2 linked regions of the Coturnix japonica genome follow. The protein of the gene in region 1 binds, or shares a complex with, the protein of each later gene. Links are inferred from orthologs where the notes say so. Each region holds a gene or a part of one and is shown in the gene's direction. Other genes may lie near its edges.

Region 1 (8,290 bases):
TAAGGAACAGATGACATCTGGTATGGCTGGCTGACTTGCTGTGAGACCCTGGACAAGGTACAGCTGTTAAGAGCTGTAAGTGAAAAGCACTTTAATTAATCAGTGATCAGTAAGTGGCTTGAAAATACTTGAAAATTAAAGATGTCCTCAACAGTAACAGAATAGTTATAATACAGCGTGACTGTAACAAGATTGTGCTTTAATCTCATGCTTTTTTTTTTTCCTGTGCTGCTCCATATGTGGTCCAGATTGCCAGCTCAGAAGCAAGTCATCATCTAGAAGCATGTAATATTTCTAACATCCTTCCCCCTCTTCCTTCCCTTCAGTTTTGCTCGCTCCACGACAGTGTCTCCTACTTTTTAACCAGACAGCTTCAGAGCCCCCTCTGCTGGAGTGCTGACAGCAGGAGGACAGACGTGGTTTGGCCAGCAGAATCGGACAGGTACCAGCTGATTTTCTAGGGCTGGGGAAGGGGAGAACCAGGCATGCTTTTTAAAGCCGAGCTTCATGTAGTTGATGTGCTCTACTGGAGGTGAGATTTGGCCAGTTCACATTGCGTCTCGCTGTCCTGAAGCTGGATCACAATGCTGGTTCTGTTAGTTTTCCATTAGTACTGCAGTCAGGGTTTCCATAATGCTGAGAACACCCATTAACAAAATGAGAACAGCCTGGAACCAGTGAGGTGATTCCTGTCAGGATTTCAGAATGCTTTTCTGCATCATCTGAAGATTTATCAAGTTTTTTCTTCTCTTTCTCCACCAATTTACTCCTTTGCACAACTCTCTGGCTGTGGAGATCTACAATAAGGAAGTTTTGGTATGAGACAGCGCTCAGCCTGGAGACTGCTAAGCTCTCCAGGAAGGATGTGTGTACCTAAACAAGAAGGGAAACAGGAAGGAAAGAAGAAATAGTACATCTGATAGCAAGGAGAGGATGCTCTTTGAGTCAGACAGGTATGCTTCAGAAAGTGCTACCAGAATAGAACGTATGATGGCACAACGATTAAGAGCTTGGGAAAAGATGCCAGGAGCTGAATCCCAAAGGGCTGCTCCAGTCTTCCTGTGCAACTTCTAACCAGTCACTGGCTCTGTGCAGCACTCTCGTAATCCCTGTTTTCATGATTAATTTCCTTTTCTTCCTTTTTTGCAGTGTGACAGCATTAATCACCTCTGTAAAGTTCCTTTAAAACAAATGAGCTCACTATGAACATGGATGCTGCTGGGGAGTCTGGGTGAATACCTATGCTGATGATACATAAGATACCTTCAAGCAGTCTGAACAACTTTATGTTGAATTAAGTGTGCTTTGTTGTTGCTGTTTACAGAAATGAAGCTTCTTTTCTGGAAAAAAGCAGCTTGAAAAGGATGTGGGCAAATCTGGGTGGAAAACCACAGACTATCATCTTGTACTGCGGTGTTACTGTAAAATGAATAACCTCATTTTTATGCTGAAAATTTGCATTAAGCAGGGAGTAAAAGTGAAAAAAGAATTATTCTTACTTTACCCCTGAAGATATATTAAATGGGCACCTGCTAAATTTCCATGGTAGAAATGTAGCTGCAGTTCAGGAAAGGTACAGCAGCTTGTCCAGGAAAAATAATGTGAGGAGGGAAGTCTGCAGTGCCCCCCCCTCAAACAGCCTAATGGCACTTGTATATAGGCAGTGTTGTGATAATGTCTCTAAAAAGAGAATAGAGATGCAAAACAGCAGTTTTTGTCTGCCTGTGTGTGTGTGTCAGGCTAGATAGGTGTGTGGAGTAATGAACCATTAAGGACAAATCGTTCTGTTTTCAAAGGAAGAAAAAAGCTTCAGTGAAATCCAGGCTTTCTGGTTAACTGGGGATGGAAGGGGCACATTGCACTGGGGTGCCCATCTCCTGCCATCTGCTGGGGTCTCCTGGCTCATTGACACGGGTAGCAACTAGCAAGCCTGGTATCTGTTTAAGTAAAGCAGCTTTCTGCACAAAGGGCTTCAGTGGGTTTCATGTAGCAGGACTTTGGCTGAGCATTTTGTATGAAAACATGGAAGAATTGGAAGACAGATGAAAATACTGAAGGGTAAAGTGACTATAGTGTGTTTTGACATCAGAGCTGATGCACTAGGGAATTAATCCTGAGTTTCTCCACTTCTAGTGCTGCAATTAATCATTAAAACCTTTCTATAATGACCTTGGCACACAAGAAAAAGAATCAAGTGTGATAATTAAATGTGGTGATGAACAGAAGTGGGGAGCTTTCCTAATACAAGGGAACTAGAACATCTTAGGGAACTGATGGCTTTGAAGAGTGAGAAACAGGCAGGAGGTGAAATTCAGCAGCAGAAAGTGTGAAGCTGTGAATGTAGATGTGAAGGAAAGGAGGCTGGATTTATTTAGTAGTTAAATGGTAGCAGTGAGTGTGAAAATGCATTTAGAAAGATTGGTCTAATGGCAAATATGATGATGCTGTCATATAAAAGAGAACTAAAATTAGAATAGAGGCCCAAAAAAAGGCTACCAGGAAGGCACCACAGAGACTGTGTTATTAGAAGAGTTAAAATGGCTTACTCATCTATTAAAGTGGAGCCTGAAATGGGATATGATTATCTTCTTGATGTATTTAGAGAGAAAACACCAGGGAAGAGGAAAGGATAATTTAAGTGAAAGGATAATCTTGGCATGAAAACAAACAGCTGGGCACGAATGTACAGGAAAACTAGAAAGAGTTTTGTAATTTCAGAGTGATACAAGAGATGCTAAAAATGAGCCTAAACACTGGTAATGTTGGGCTGTGTTTTCGGATGGGAACTTGAAGGTGATATGTGTGGAAACCCTCTGCTCCAAAACCAAAGGCAGGGCTGAGATGATTGGCTCTGTGCACAGCTTCTGGCCCTTGATGGCTCAGATCTGTTGATCTAAGCATTCCTTTACAGATTGATTTGTCTGTCTCATTTGGCGTAGCAGGATCTTTTCATTATCCCAGATAACATCATCATGATTTGGTGATGCCCTGAACTCTTCCTGGCCCTCACTTTAGGCAATTTTTCCTTTCCAATCCAGTTTTCCTTCCTGTGTTTTCCAGCTGATGCAGCCTCTCAGACATGAAAACATTTAGAAAACAACACGCTTGCTGTTAGATGTCTGCTGGATAGACAAGCAGCTGCTGAAGCCATCTGCTCAAGGTGGGATTCCCAGCAGCAGGGTGGCCATCATTGCATTGAGGAAGGAGAGCTGGACTTGTTCTTAATGAAACAAAACCCCTCTGCTATGCCAAATACACCCCCAAGGTGGAATGGAAGCAGGGCAGAGCAGCTGAAGGCTGGCTGCTGTTTTTAGAAGATGAGTTGATTTATGGAGCTTGAGGTAGAATTATTAGCTTAGATTGGACAGGAACAGCAGTTCTTTGCCCTAATATCTGTCTCATGGCATGTTTGTGTTGTGTTTAGCAGGGATGTTTTCTGCTTTATGGGCACAAGGGGAGGTGGCAGCTGGGAATGTTAAAGGAGGAAGAGCCATCAGGAGCCCATCAGCAGGTGAATGAATGGCACAGGTGAGCAGTTCTATTTCTAAGGACACAACAACCACATCCTCATTAATATGAACCCCTAAATGAAAGGAGAGGGGTTGAGTGAGCTCCAGCCTCGTGTACCTAAAGCTCATCCATGTGGATTTACTTTCATACCAAGTAACTTCAACAAAGGCACCGTGCCTTTCCCCATTTCCCCCCTGCCTTTCCCCCCTTCCCCTTGCCTTTTTCCCCCTTCCCCTTGCCTTTTTCCCCCTTCCCCTTGCCTTTTTCCCCCTTCCCCTTGCCTTTTTCCCCCTTCCCCTTGCCTTTCCCATCCCATATTGAGCCCTTAGGGAGAAGAGCCGGGAGCGGTGGGCACTAGGACCCAGCGGCGCAGTCCGAGCGGTGGGCGGGGCCTCGCTGCCGCCCGTCATTCTGATTGGCAGCCGGCTGAGGGCCGGTCCCCTCCGTTGGCGGGCGAGGAGGCGGGGTCAGCGCAGCGAGCAGCACGACCCCCAACGATTGGCTGGCGACTGTCTGAGCGGCGAGCCGATTGGCGGGCTGTGCCGTCGGGTGGGTGGCTCGGCGGCGCTGATTGGCTGAAAGCGGCGGGTCGGCCCCTGTGATTGGCAGGCGGCGGCGGCGGGTGCGCGGTGGCGGCCGAGCGGTTTGTTTTGCTCGCGGCCCGGTCGCTCGGTGCCGCCGGCGGCGGGTGGGGAGAGACCGGCACCGGCCGAGTCCCGGCCCCACAACCCGCAGCCCGGAGCGGGGCCGCCGGAAGGAGGCGGCTGTTTGGGCCTGGGAATGTGGCGGCGGCTCTGAGCCCTCCCCCTCGGCCCGGCCGCCATGGAGAGACGGCGGTGACAGCAGCGTACCACAGCGCGCCGCCCGCACGGAGCGGGCCCAGAGCCCACAACCATGGGTGAGAACGGGGGGTGAGCGGGATGGGGGCGGCTGTAGGATCGGACAGGACTGGGCCGCGATTGGGATGAGGGGCGGGGGCGGGACGAGACGGGGCGTCGCCTGAGGGAGGGGGGGGAACGGCCGGGGGGGCCTTAAATCTGGATGTTGGGCTTAGAAAGTCGGGCTGGGGGGTCTTAAATCCTCGATATTGGCCTTATAAAGTCGGGCTGGGCTTTGTGGTGTTGGTACCCGATTCACTTTTTGCTTTTCAGCGGTAAACGATGTAGTTTTTCTAAAGCAAGATCAGGTTGGACGGGGCCTTGAGCAACTTGATCTGTGGGGTCTCTATGGGGATCTGTTGGGATCTATGGGGTCTCTATGGAGTCTATGGGGATCTATGGGGTCTCTGTGGGGATCTATGGGGTCTCCTGGGCAACCTGATCTAGTAAAGGTGTATGTTTGGTGGCCCTGCTAGGCAGGGGGGTTGGAACTACATGATCCTTGAGGTCCCTTCCAACCCGGGTCACTCTGTGATTCTGTAAAGCAGAACTGACTCATTTGCTGGCAGGGGAATCACTGCTGTTACCTGCAGCGCTTTGTGGGCCGTAGCTTTGATTCTTCCTCCAAGTTTGGTGCTGTGGGACTCCCTCAGCGTTCAGTCTGTGCATGTAATATGTTCACTTCTTTATATTGTAACTGCATTGCAAACGTCACTCCAAGCAAATGCAGGATGTTCCGTTCCCTTTGTGCCCTGAGACGATCCCAGGCACAGCAAGACCTACAAGAAATGCCTATTGTATAAATGCAGTAGATGGGCAGGTCTATAAGTGGGCTCCTCTTCTCTAAAGAGAGATGTCTGGTGTTCCCCAGGCAGTGTTATCTCTGCAGGAGCCAACCTGATGGTGCAGAACTCACAGCAGCCAACCAGGAGGGTGCAGAGCTTCCATGGAATTGCTTTGTGGGGCTGTTGGATGCCTCTTGATAAACACGTGAGCACGGGATGAAGAAGAACAGTTCCACGGTCGTGTTGTAATGGCAATACTGATTGCTTGCAAAGGGAGAGATCCAAACTCATTAGGCTGTTGTGAGCAGATCTTTTAGAGACTGTTTTGCTGTGACCCTGAGCTTTCTCCCACCTTGTTTCTCATGAGATTCTCTGACAGATGAGTGCTGCCATTGAGAGGTCAGTGTTGCAGGTTGCTGAGCTCCATTGATAGAACCACAGCTCGCTGGCACTTCGCAGAAAGGGCAGTCATTTCCAAACCTGTGCTTTCCAAACAGAGCTCCTCAGCAGCAATAGGCTCACTTGCTTCTAATACAGAGAAACGTGAGTGTATGTGGGAAGCAGAGGGGAGGAGCAGCACTCAGGCCCAGAGTGAAGTGCTCCTTGCAGTCCTGCTGCTGAGGCTCTCCCCGGCCTGCTCTGCTTTCCTGCCTGTGTCACTTCCTTCCCTTAGCTCTCATTGCCTGGCGCTGTGCAGTGACAGCCCCCACTGCTGGGGGAGGGAGGGGGCTGAGCCCAGGGTCGGTCAATGCCAGCTACAATCCTCAGTGTGAGGAATTTCTCAGTGTGAAGAACCTCAGATACATATCCCAGCTCCATAGGGATGCTCAGCTTTTTCTTCTAAACCTTCAGGCCAAGTTTTCTGTTTGAAATAAACTTGCTCGTTGCCCCTGGTTCTGCTGGCAGAATAGCCAGCAGCATCGCTGTTGGTGGCAGCAGATAACAAATGCGTGTGTTTGCTTTTCTCAAACAACTTCTAGTGCCTTCTATTATCATGCTATATAAAATACCATCCTGGATCATAGAGGTTTACAGGCTTTTCTGCACTCTGCAGACGCTTTTACTTTGGGGTTTGTTTGTTTTTCTTTAACCCTATTCCTGTTTTGTACCACTGCAAACACACCGACCTGCTCGACCCCGTGGAGCAAACCCTGTACGCGTGGAAATAAACGCGTTATGAGGATGAAGGGTTTTCTCTGTGAGCAGCAGTTCCCCTTTATCCGATGGTAGAAAACCCGTGAGTGTAGTTTTTCAAACATGAGAAGCATTTCCTGGACAACATCTTTGAGCACAAAGCAGAGCTGTGTTTCCCAGACCTACTGGAGACGTAGCAGCAAAGGGTCCTTCAGTGAGCTTCCAAAATTGCTTATTTTTCATTCCTAATAACTTTTGCATTGTGTGATTAATGTGATGCTGCTGCATATACTCCCTTAAAGCCAATCTGTGCAAATCCTCTCTTTGGATGGAAAGAAAGAAGTATTCATGCTTGGTAACATTAAATCCATCACAATGTTGTCCTGAATGGAAACATTTCTTCCTTTGGCAAATGTGTATTTCACACCGATTTTGTGTTAAAAAATGATAAATACTCTGTTTCCCACCAAAACAAGGATGAATTCTCTTCTGTATATTGTCTGAGGGAGATGGTAGCCCAGTCTGTGATACTAACATCACATAAGCTCCACCTGCTGCTGCGTGGCATAGCGTGGCTGTGTGCTGTAAGATCATAGCATTAGTGCTTGCCTGCAGGTGAATGGAGCACCCAGCAGTGCTGCGACCCTTCCTGCTCACCAGGGGGTTCTGCTGCTACCCAGGTGCTGCCATGAAGAGTTTCACGTTGCAGAGTTGTGTCAGTGCACAAGTGAGCTAGTAAGTAGTTGCACATCTAAGCTGCAGCCTGCATCAGGAGGCTGTGGATGCCCCATCCCTGCAGGCATTCAAGGCCAGGCTGGATGTGGCTCTGGGCAGCCTGGGCTGCTGGGTGGTGACCCTGCACATAGCAGGGGGTTGGAAATGGATGAACATTGTGGTCCTTTTGAACCCAGGCCATTCCATGATGTGATTCTGTGATATGATTTTGTGATAGGAGGCAGATAGCTGCTCGGACACGTGTCTTCTCTGCCCACTTCCTCCAGCAAATGAGAGACTTTGAAAATCAGCCGACGTGAGCACAGCCTGGGCTTTGGCACCAACAGCTTGTGAGTGCATCTCAACTGCTGCTCCTTGTTTTGGAGTGAGGTGCCATGGTGTTCAGACCAATTTCTCATTCATAAACGTATTCTTTGATTGACTTGATTCCGTGTTATGAGCACCCAGTTAGAAGCTGTTTTCATAGCTGTTTTGCTTGCCCAAAGGAACCCTGACCGTCTGCCAAGACAAGCTCTTCTTCATCCTCCTGGTAGCCAGCCAAACCCAAACTGTGCTGTAGTGGAAAACTTGCATCCCTGCTCCTCACATTGTGCCTTGGGTGCTGGGAGCTCAGCAGTTCACCACTCCATCGTTGTCACGGTTTGTTATGCGGAGGTGCAGCCCCTATTGGCTGCCTTGCTCAAAGATTATGCTCAATACCAAACAAGAGGAAGGAATGAGAGTAAATTGGAGATGCTCCAGGGAGGTAAAAGGGGAAGCGTTCAGATGTAAGGTTGAAAACATTTTTTTTGTTAATAAAAAAATAAAAAGCATGCTGTGCTGAGAGGAGAAGGCTGTGGGGAGACCTCATTGTGGCCTTCCAGTATTTGAAAGGAGTGTATTAGCAGGAGGGGGAATGGGTGTTTGTGAGGGTGGGCAGTGATAGGACAAGAGGAATGGTTTTAAATGGAGACAGAGGAGGTTTAGCTTGGATCTTAGGAGGAAGTTTTTCACCCATAGGATGGTGACGCACTGGAACAGGTTGCCCAAGGAGGCTGTGGATGCCCCATCCCTGCAGGCATTCAAGGCCAGGCTGGATGTGGCTCTGGGCAGCCTGGGCTGGTGATTAGCAACCCTGCCCATAGCAGGGGGTTGGAACTGGATGAGCACTGTGGGCCTTTCCAACCCAGACCATTCTATGGTTCATTCACAACCTTTTTTTCACATTTTTCTCCCACAAGGGGTTACGGAGTGCTGAGATGGATCCTA
Region 2 (7,506 bases), on another chromosome or scaffold:
AGTGGATGTTAAAGAATCATACGAAACAGAAGCAAGCACTGTGTAAGTGGAAAGCGAACGTGATAACTCAGCACTGGAGACAGTGCCTCATTCATGCAGCCCTGCTGTCTGTCAGGTTTAAGCACAAAAGCAGACAGTGCTGCAGTTTGCACTTTGGAAAGTTTCTGATCAGCCTGGTTGGATCATTTGATAGCATTTTTGCTATCTGTCTGCGTGCAGGACTGTGGTCCTGCCTCCTCAGCATCCTTGGCTGCATTGTTCTGTTACTGCAGCTTTCTGGGGAAGATCATGTGTGCAGAGCAGAGCTCACAGAGCTGCTTTGTCATGTTTCTTCCTCCTGAATCAGTGACCATTGGAAATGGCAGAAGCATCTGTGGGCTGAAAACCTGATGCATGAACGGGTTGTTCCCTGTTGAGAATCTGAGAATTTCAAATTTAACACCAGAATAAGGTGTTTGGGGACCTCTTTCCCCATTGGTCTGAAATGAGAAAGCAATTGGAGGGGATCTCTTCCCCTGTAGGGCTTCATATTCTACACATCACAGGGACAGTCCCTCTGTGCTGCACATGACCACTCCCCTAGACTCTCCCATGCTGTGCTCAGCAGGAGGTGCCTAAGGAGCTCTGGATAGCTCACAAGCCATTTGTGTTTCAGTTCCTTTCCAGAAACCTTGGATGCAGGTGACAACTCTCCCTCTTCCTTCTTGACACAACAGTCTCCACACATCAAAACCATCAGTGAGAGCGAGCTGAGCACTACAGCCACAGAGCTGCTCCAGGACTACATGATGACGGTAGGGTGCCCTCAAGGCTACGTCTGCCCATAGGGAAGGGTGGGAAGGTTTTCTTCCCTTTTGGTGTTCATGGGAGCACATTTGTGCCCTTGGCATCGTCTGAGCTCCTCCCTGTTGGTTCCAGCATTGTCTGGGCCCTGCAGGTGATGTGATTTTGTCCACGCTGGTGAAGGAATGCATCACCCTTTCAAAGAACTCATGCCTGGAGACCAGTGCAGGCACTCATCTTTCCCATTCTAAAGCACCTGCACCTTGTTGTCCCCTCTCACTGTGATGGGGCACACACAGTGTTCCCATGTCCATCGCTTCATGACCTGCACTTCTGCAGTGTGCTTACAGCTTTTCCCAGTTAAAAAGCTGGACAGCTGGCAGCTCAGGGCAGTTTGCACCATCCCACCCTGCTGAGTTCATCACTGCAGCTCAGTGGTTCTCACCACAATAGAAGCAAACCCCATTCCCAGGCTTCCCACCATCTCTTCTCCCTCCCATCTCATCAGAACTCAAAGAGTGCTCTAAAAAAAAATCAGCACAATTTGTGGTGTGCTTATGTCCTCAGCTACGAACAAAGCTCTCTTCCCAAGAGATCCAGCAGTTTGCAATGCTCCTGCACGAATATCGCAACGGAGCCTCGATACACGAGTTCTGCATCAACTTGAAGCAGCTCTATGGGGACAGTAGGAAGTTCCTGCTCTTGGGTGAGTGTCTTCCCTTTGTGTTTGGCTTTGTTTTTGCCTGCTGCTGGTTGTCATCTAGGCTTCCAGATGAGCTCCTTGGCTCCTCTGATACCTTGGTTTGGTGGCTTAGTGGTAGCACTCGATGTCCTTGGCCAAGCAGTGAGGTGTTAAACAGTACAATTTGGGTGTTCAGCTAGTTGGACTGATGAGATGCCTTGAGGATCTGTGCTCTCACAGCGTGTCCTTACAGTCATGGAGGGAAGGTGTGCACCAAGTACAGTGCCAGCAGACACATGCTGACACCATTTCTTGGGAGGCAAGCGGGACCATTTCCTTTCCCTTCACTAAAAGGAGGCCAACTGCCTCAGAGGCTCTCAGAGTCCCTCAACTCAAGCTCCTTGCTTTCATTTTGGCTCTAATAATCTGAAACAACATTAATGGCAGAGAGCAAAGGAACCTCAGGGCTGAGCACAGGGCCCTGCCTCAGCTCTCACTCACGGATGCCTGCTGCTGCTCTCATTTAGATAGAGAGCTGCTGAAAGCAGTCAGAGTGACTCAACAACACAGGGAGGGGGGGCTGCGTGGCCTCCACTCCTTTTGTCCTGGGCACACAGAAGCAGTCAGGCATCTGCACCAGCACAAAAGCATTTTCTTTCATCCCTATGCACACAGCCTGCTTGCTTTTTATGTCGCCATTACCAAAGCCAACACACAACACAATCCCTGTGCTGGGAGGCTGATTTTATACTGACTACACTGCTGAAAAGCAGTTTAGACTCAGCTTTCCTGTAAAGAATCATAGAATGGCTTAGGTTGGATGGGACCTTAAAGATCACAGAGCTCTTAACTCCCTCCTGCAGCCCCTACCAGAGGCCTTGCAAGTTTTCAGGTGTACACTTCCCTTGGTGGGGAGGGGAAATCACTGTGGCCCTAAAGGTGGGGTTGGGAGAGGCGAGGGGAGTCAGTAGCACGCCCAGAAACTGCCAGAGACAGAGCTGTGTTGGCTGCTATAATGAAGCCACTCACTTCATAACCCCATGCTGTGACCCTGTGGTGACAGTGCCCAGTGTGTGATGCTGGCCCACAGCAGGGTGCAGGGATGCAGACAGATGGCCCCCAAGTGCTCCGCATGCACTCTGCTGGGGGCCTTAATCTCACGCTGATGCTGTTACACTAACGAGATGAGCAAAGCCCAGCAATATGGCTCAGTGATGAAGTCGCAGACAATCCTTTTGAGCTCAGAAATCCCACTTCAGGCCCAGGAATTGTCCTTGGCTTATACACATCTGCCTTTCTTGGGGCTGTCATCATGACACACAGCCACGAGATGGGAGCACCAGCAGCCCCAAAAAGCACTGCTCAGAGCCTGAACCCCAAAACGAGCTCCTTTAGTAACCCCTACCTGCATGAAACACAGCAGCTCATGTTCTCCTCCTTGTCTTTGCTCCCCTGGGAAAGGCCTGCGGCCCTTCATTCCTGAGAAGGACAGCCAACACTTTGAGAACTTCCTGGAAACCATCGGGGTGAAGGACGGCCGTGGCATCATCACGGACAGCTTTGGGAGGTACAGGCGGACGCTGAGCACCACCTCCAACTCCACCACCAATGGCAATGGCGCAGCTGGCAGCTCTGATGACCAGTCTGTGCCCTCAGAGGAGGACGAGTGGGACCGGATGATCTCACACATCAGCAACGACATCGAGGCGCTGGGCTGCAGCATGGACCGCGACTCCTCCTGAGAGCCAGCCGGCTTCAACAGCACCTGCCCAACAGACCCTCGTTTCCAAAGAGGTTTTTGGGGTGGAGCAGGATGTAGTCACTCTCCCATCCACACCAACGGCCATCTGTGCCCTCTTACTGTGAAGGTGTGCGTTGCCACAGGCACGCTGCAAAGGAGGAGCCAGGCAGGAGCCCATCCTCCAGCCTTCCCTGGTTCCGTCAGCCGAGTGGGGAGCAAGGCTGGGAGAGCCCTGTATGGAAAAGGTTGCCTACAGCCCTCTCCCTCCCTGGTTTACAGTTTTGCACATGGTGTCCTTCTTGTAACTGCTCTCCTCCTCCCCTCTTTTGAATGAAGTTTACCACAATGTGAATTATTTAAGCCTAGCCTTGCAGTTGGCACAGCATTTTGCATCCAGGCCTGCAGGGGCTCTGCTTCCCCCCCTCCACTCCATCCTCAGCTTGCAGCCAGCTGGGCTCACCAGTTTTGTGCTTTCACTTCTGTCCTGCAGGGAGCCTGGATTACAAACACCACCCGACCCACTCCTTGCCTTTGCTCCAGCAGTTGGCAGGATGGAGGCAGCGCCTGTCCCACGTTCACAGTCGTGGGAGGTGACACAAAGCCTCTGCTGGCTCCTGAGGTCCCCAAGGACATTATCACACACCCATGGAGGTGAGAGCTGCTCCTGGACAAACACAATGGGGTCTCCAGCACACGGTGTACATATTGTAAATATTTTACACGTGGTTATAAATACACACTTATTTTTTTAATCTATATCCCTTGCCCAGGAAGCAATCCTGCTTGAAGGGAGGTGCTGGCAGAACCCACAGGCACGCAGCTCTGCTTGCTGGGCACACAGGAGCTGGGGTAGAAGCAACCACAGTCAGCACAGAAACACAAGCAGCAGGAAGAGAGCACAGGCTTGAGCAGGTCGTAGAACTGGAGCTTCCTATTCTTTGCCCACTGCTGTGAGTATGAGGGGAAGCACAGGCTGCAGCCCATTTAGGGAAGGACTGTCCCTGTTTTGTTTCATACTCATGAGTGCTGCTGCGCTCAGCATTGTACCCCCCCAAAGCCCTGCCCTTGCCCAAAGCACCTCCAGCACCATCCTGTGAAGGAGGTGGGATGGAAGAAGGACCAAATGCAGTGAGGAGTAGGGGTGGTTCTGTTATGTATAACACAGGGACACAGAGGTATCCCTGTGCCCTTGCCTGGAGCTGGCTGGCCTCTGCAGCACCCAAACCCAGACACTTGCTCAGCACTTTGCAGGAAAAATCCAGCCCCTCCAGCACATTCCTCTGTGCTTTGTCCTGTGCAGGGCTGCGTCTGCATCCTGCACTGCTTCCACTGCAGTAACACATCCCACAGCTCCCACTGCCCTTCCCATGTTGCTTATCCTCCGCAGCCCCATGCAGAAGCTTGTCACCATCCTCCCAGTGCCCAGGCTGCTCCCTCATTAACCAAATGACTTCCCATTGTGGATCCATGCTCCCTTCACAGCTGGGACAGAGCCCACCAGAGCCAAACCTTCATCCCTACATCCTCCCCCTCACTCTGCTCTGCCCCTCTGGGTACCTCTTACCCTGCTCCTGCAGGCACAGCAGTCCAGGATTGCAGCCCCAACGACCCCACAGCTCAGTGCTTCATCTTTAAAAGGTGCACACTCGTGTCCTGCTATGGGGCACTTCCTTTTAAAAGGCAGCTCCACGCCGCAAATCACAGGCCATAAAACTCTTCCCTTCGCCATTTGAGGCTGCTCTATCAGCAGAAGGACCACAAGCAGGAGAGCAAAGAGAGCTGCAAGCCCTGCAGCAGCATCAGGGTTAGGAACAAGTAACAAAACCTCACAAGTCAGGAGCACAAGCATTGAGCTCCCACTGAGCATGGGAGCATTGCTCCAGCACCCTGGCTATGCTGAGTCCTCAGTGCCTTCTTACACATGCAGGTCTATAAAGAAGAAACCACCACCACCGACACAGACAGCGTCAGGAAATCTGGAATAGCCCTATTTTTGGATTGATTGTATACAGAGATGCATTTAGCAGAAGCCGTAGCAGCTCACAGGTATTTTTTTATACCCTCCCTTACCCCCCCTTTGCTGGGAAATGTGATTTAGTTCTGGACAGAACTGGTTGTTAAAGCTCCGCTGAGGTGACTGAGTGTTTCCCCCACAAAACCCCACCTGCTGCTCCCCCCCAACCATGACAAGCCCCCAAGACCCCGAGCACCATAGGGGGAACCGGGGACACCCCGGGGGTGTTTTGTATGTAATGCTTTCTGTATGGAGTATTTGTTACAGGTAAATATAACTCTGCACCTGGCTGCGGTCTGTCTCCTTGTTAAAACCCTCGCCTGCCTCTCTGCTGTGCCCCAAAGTATGTCATATTTAACATGAGGCATGCAAAAGCCTCAAGGGTTAAAGATTGGGGAACTCAGGGCTCCACCAGCCACTGCTCATCCCCAATTACTTGCTCCCCATCTTGCAGGCTACACACCCCTCTCCCAGGGCCTTAGGACCCCTCCAACCCTCTGAGAGAGGACCCCAATTACCACGCAGGGAGGCAGGGTGCGATCCAAGTGATACATGAGGCCATTTATTGAGCATTAGGAGGCGGGCAAGGCGGAGGCATGGGGCTCAAGGAGGGACATCAGGGTAAGGAGAACTGTGCACCTATACAGGGGGCCGGGGCCGGCCGCTACATGGTCAGCTCCTGCAAGAGAGAGCACAGCGTTAATGCAGGGCTGAACTGTACCCCCAAAGACATAAGGAATGAGGACACCCCTACTCACCATGATGGCATTGACAATGTCGTTATTGTTGTGCCTGAGTGCTCGCACAGCTTTGGGGCGTGAGACATTGGCCTGGGCCATGACCAACTCTATGTCCCGCACTTCCAATCCCGTCTCATCCACCTGTGGGAGCAGGAATAGTGCTGTCATCCCTTGGGCAACCACCCAACCCTACTAGTAGCCTCTCACCACCCAACCCAACACCCCTTAAGCCAGCCCTGTGCCAAACTGGTGGCTTCCCATCACCCCAACAGCAGCCTCCCACCAACCTCTTCTTCTTCCTCGCTCTCCTCCTTGATGGTGAGCGCGGGCGTTGTGTCTGTGATCAGCGGGGAGTGCTCCATGGGCACCTTGAACTTCTCAGCCGCAGCCTTGTGCACCTGCTGCGACAGGTCCTCGATCTGCAGGGACAAGGAAGGTCACCAAATGGTCCCCATGGATTATCTGACCCCGGGATGCACCCACAGCCCTGACCCACCTTGGCTTCCCCAAAGACGATGTAGATGTCAGACGCAGGGCTCTTGAAGACATCAGGCTTGGTGATGACAAAGAGGATGTTCTTGGACTTGCGGATGGTGATGCGGGTGACACCATGGATCTGCCTCAATCCCAGCTTGGACATGGCCTGAAGAACGAGACACAAGGCTGAGCTCCATACATTGTGTCCAACATCACCAGGGTCCCCAGCCCTCCAGCAATGGGAGGACACAGAACGGGGAGATCACCCCAGTGCCGCCACCACCCCAAAGCCACGGGACATCAGAACCCATCCCACCTTCCTGGCCTTCTTCTCACTGCGGCTCTGCTTGGCTTTACTGATGCTCTCCTCCCCGGTGCCCAGCGAGTGGGTGAGCGGCGCCTGTGGGGCACAGCAGTGGGAGATGGGGTGTCATGGTCTCCCAGATGCCCAGGGACAGAGTCCCCAAGCCTGCAGCCTTACCTGAGTCTGCATCGGCCGTGGCTCTGCTCCCTCCGGCTCCTCCAGCTCCGGGATGGACTCATCATTGCTCTCAGACTCATTGCATGATCCTGTAAGGGCCACAGTGAAGCTGACACTCATCTCAACACCCCAAAGCCCCCCTTGTACACCACCCCTCACCTTTATGGTTGGCCTGACCATGCCGCAGCGCTGCCTTGTCCTCAAGCAGGGCAATGGCAGGCAGGTGCTCAGCAGGGCTGGGGACACGGTAGGGCAATTCAGCCTCACTGGAGGAGCTTGATTCAGACTGCACTGAGCCCCGGGGTGCACGGCGGGGTCCCCCCTCTGCATCCAGCCCTCGTGCACCCTTACTGCCAGCCGGCACCTTCCTGCCCCTCGTCTTCTCCTTCTGTGGGGATGGCTCCGGGGCTGTGGGCAAAGATGGGAGATGCTGAGGTCACAAGATGGACAATAGGAACCCAGTGTGCTCAATCCCATTGAGTACCTCCCAAAAATGGGACTCCAGGGATCCCACCAGTGGCTGGTACGTGGGATGCTCACCCTGATCCCAGTACTGCCCAGCCCCACACCTCTTGGGACCCCAGGGGG

The links.
Region 2: the proteins of MAP3K3 (region 1) and CCM2 are in contact, whole or in part, in a crystal structure (PDB 4Y5O), measured with the Homo sapiens proteins. The link is inferred for Coturnix japonica from reciprocal best matches to the Homo sapiens genes MAP3K3 and CCM2. Residues at the interface, in NP_002392.2 of Homo sapiens: Asp2, Glu3, Gln4, Ala6, Leu7, Ser9, Ile10, Met11, Asn12, Asp13, Leu14, Val15, Ala16, Leu17, Glu50, Asp82, His84, Met86, Asn88, Glu89, Leu90, Ser91, Ile92, Leu93, Arg117, Leu119, Leu121, Ser122, Gln123, Asp124; in NP_113631.1 of Homo sapiens: Leu299, Tyr302, Met303, Leu306, Arg307, Ser312, Gln313, Ile315, Gln316, Gln317, Phe318, Ala319, Ala320, Leu321, Leu322, His323, Glu324, Arg326, Glu333, Ile336, Asn337, Gln340, Leu341, Leu353, Phe356, Pro358.

The regions. Positions count from the first base shown.
Region 1 is NC_029542.1:2,175,960-2,184,249, forward strand, and holds the start of MAP3K3 (mitogen-activated protein kinase kinase kinase 3), read left to right. Parts: upstream 1-4,118; 5' UTR 4,119-4,404; coding exon 4,405-4,408; intron 4,409-8,290. UniProt on the Homo sapiens protein: Component of a protein kinase signal transduction cascade. Mediates activation of the NF-kappa-B, AP1 and DDIT3 transcriptional regulators.
Region 2 is NC_029517.1:3,578,929-3,586,434, reverse strand, and holds the end of CCM2 (cerebral cavernous malformations 2 protein), read left to right. Parts: coding exon 1-42; intron 43-655; coding exon 656-794; intron 795-1,350; coding exon 1,351-1,489; intron 1,490-2,926; coding exon 2,927-3,207; 3' UTR 3,208-5,510; downstream 5,511-7,506. Other genes in the region: NACAD (NAC-alpha domain-containing protein 1), read right to left, coding at 5,885-5,899, 5,979-6,101, 6,248-6,379, 6,457-6,603, 6,754-6,837, 6,919-7,007, 7,078-7,326. UniProt on the Homo sapiens protein: Component of the CCM signaling pathway which is a crucial regulator of heart and vessel formation and integrity. May act through the stabilization of endothelial cell junctions. May function as a scaffold protein for MAP2K3-MAP3K3 signaling.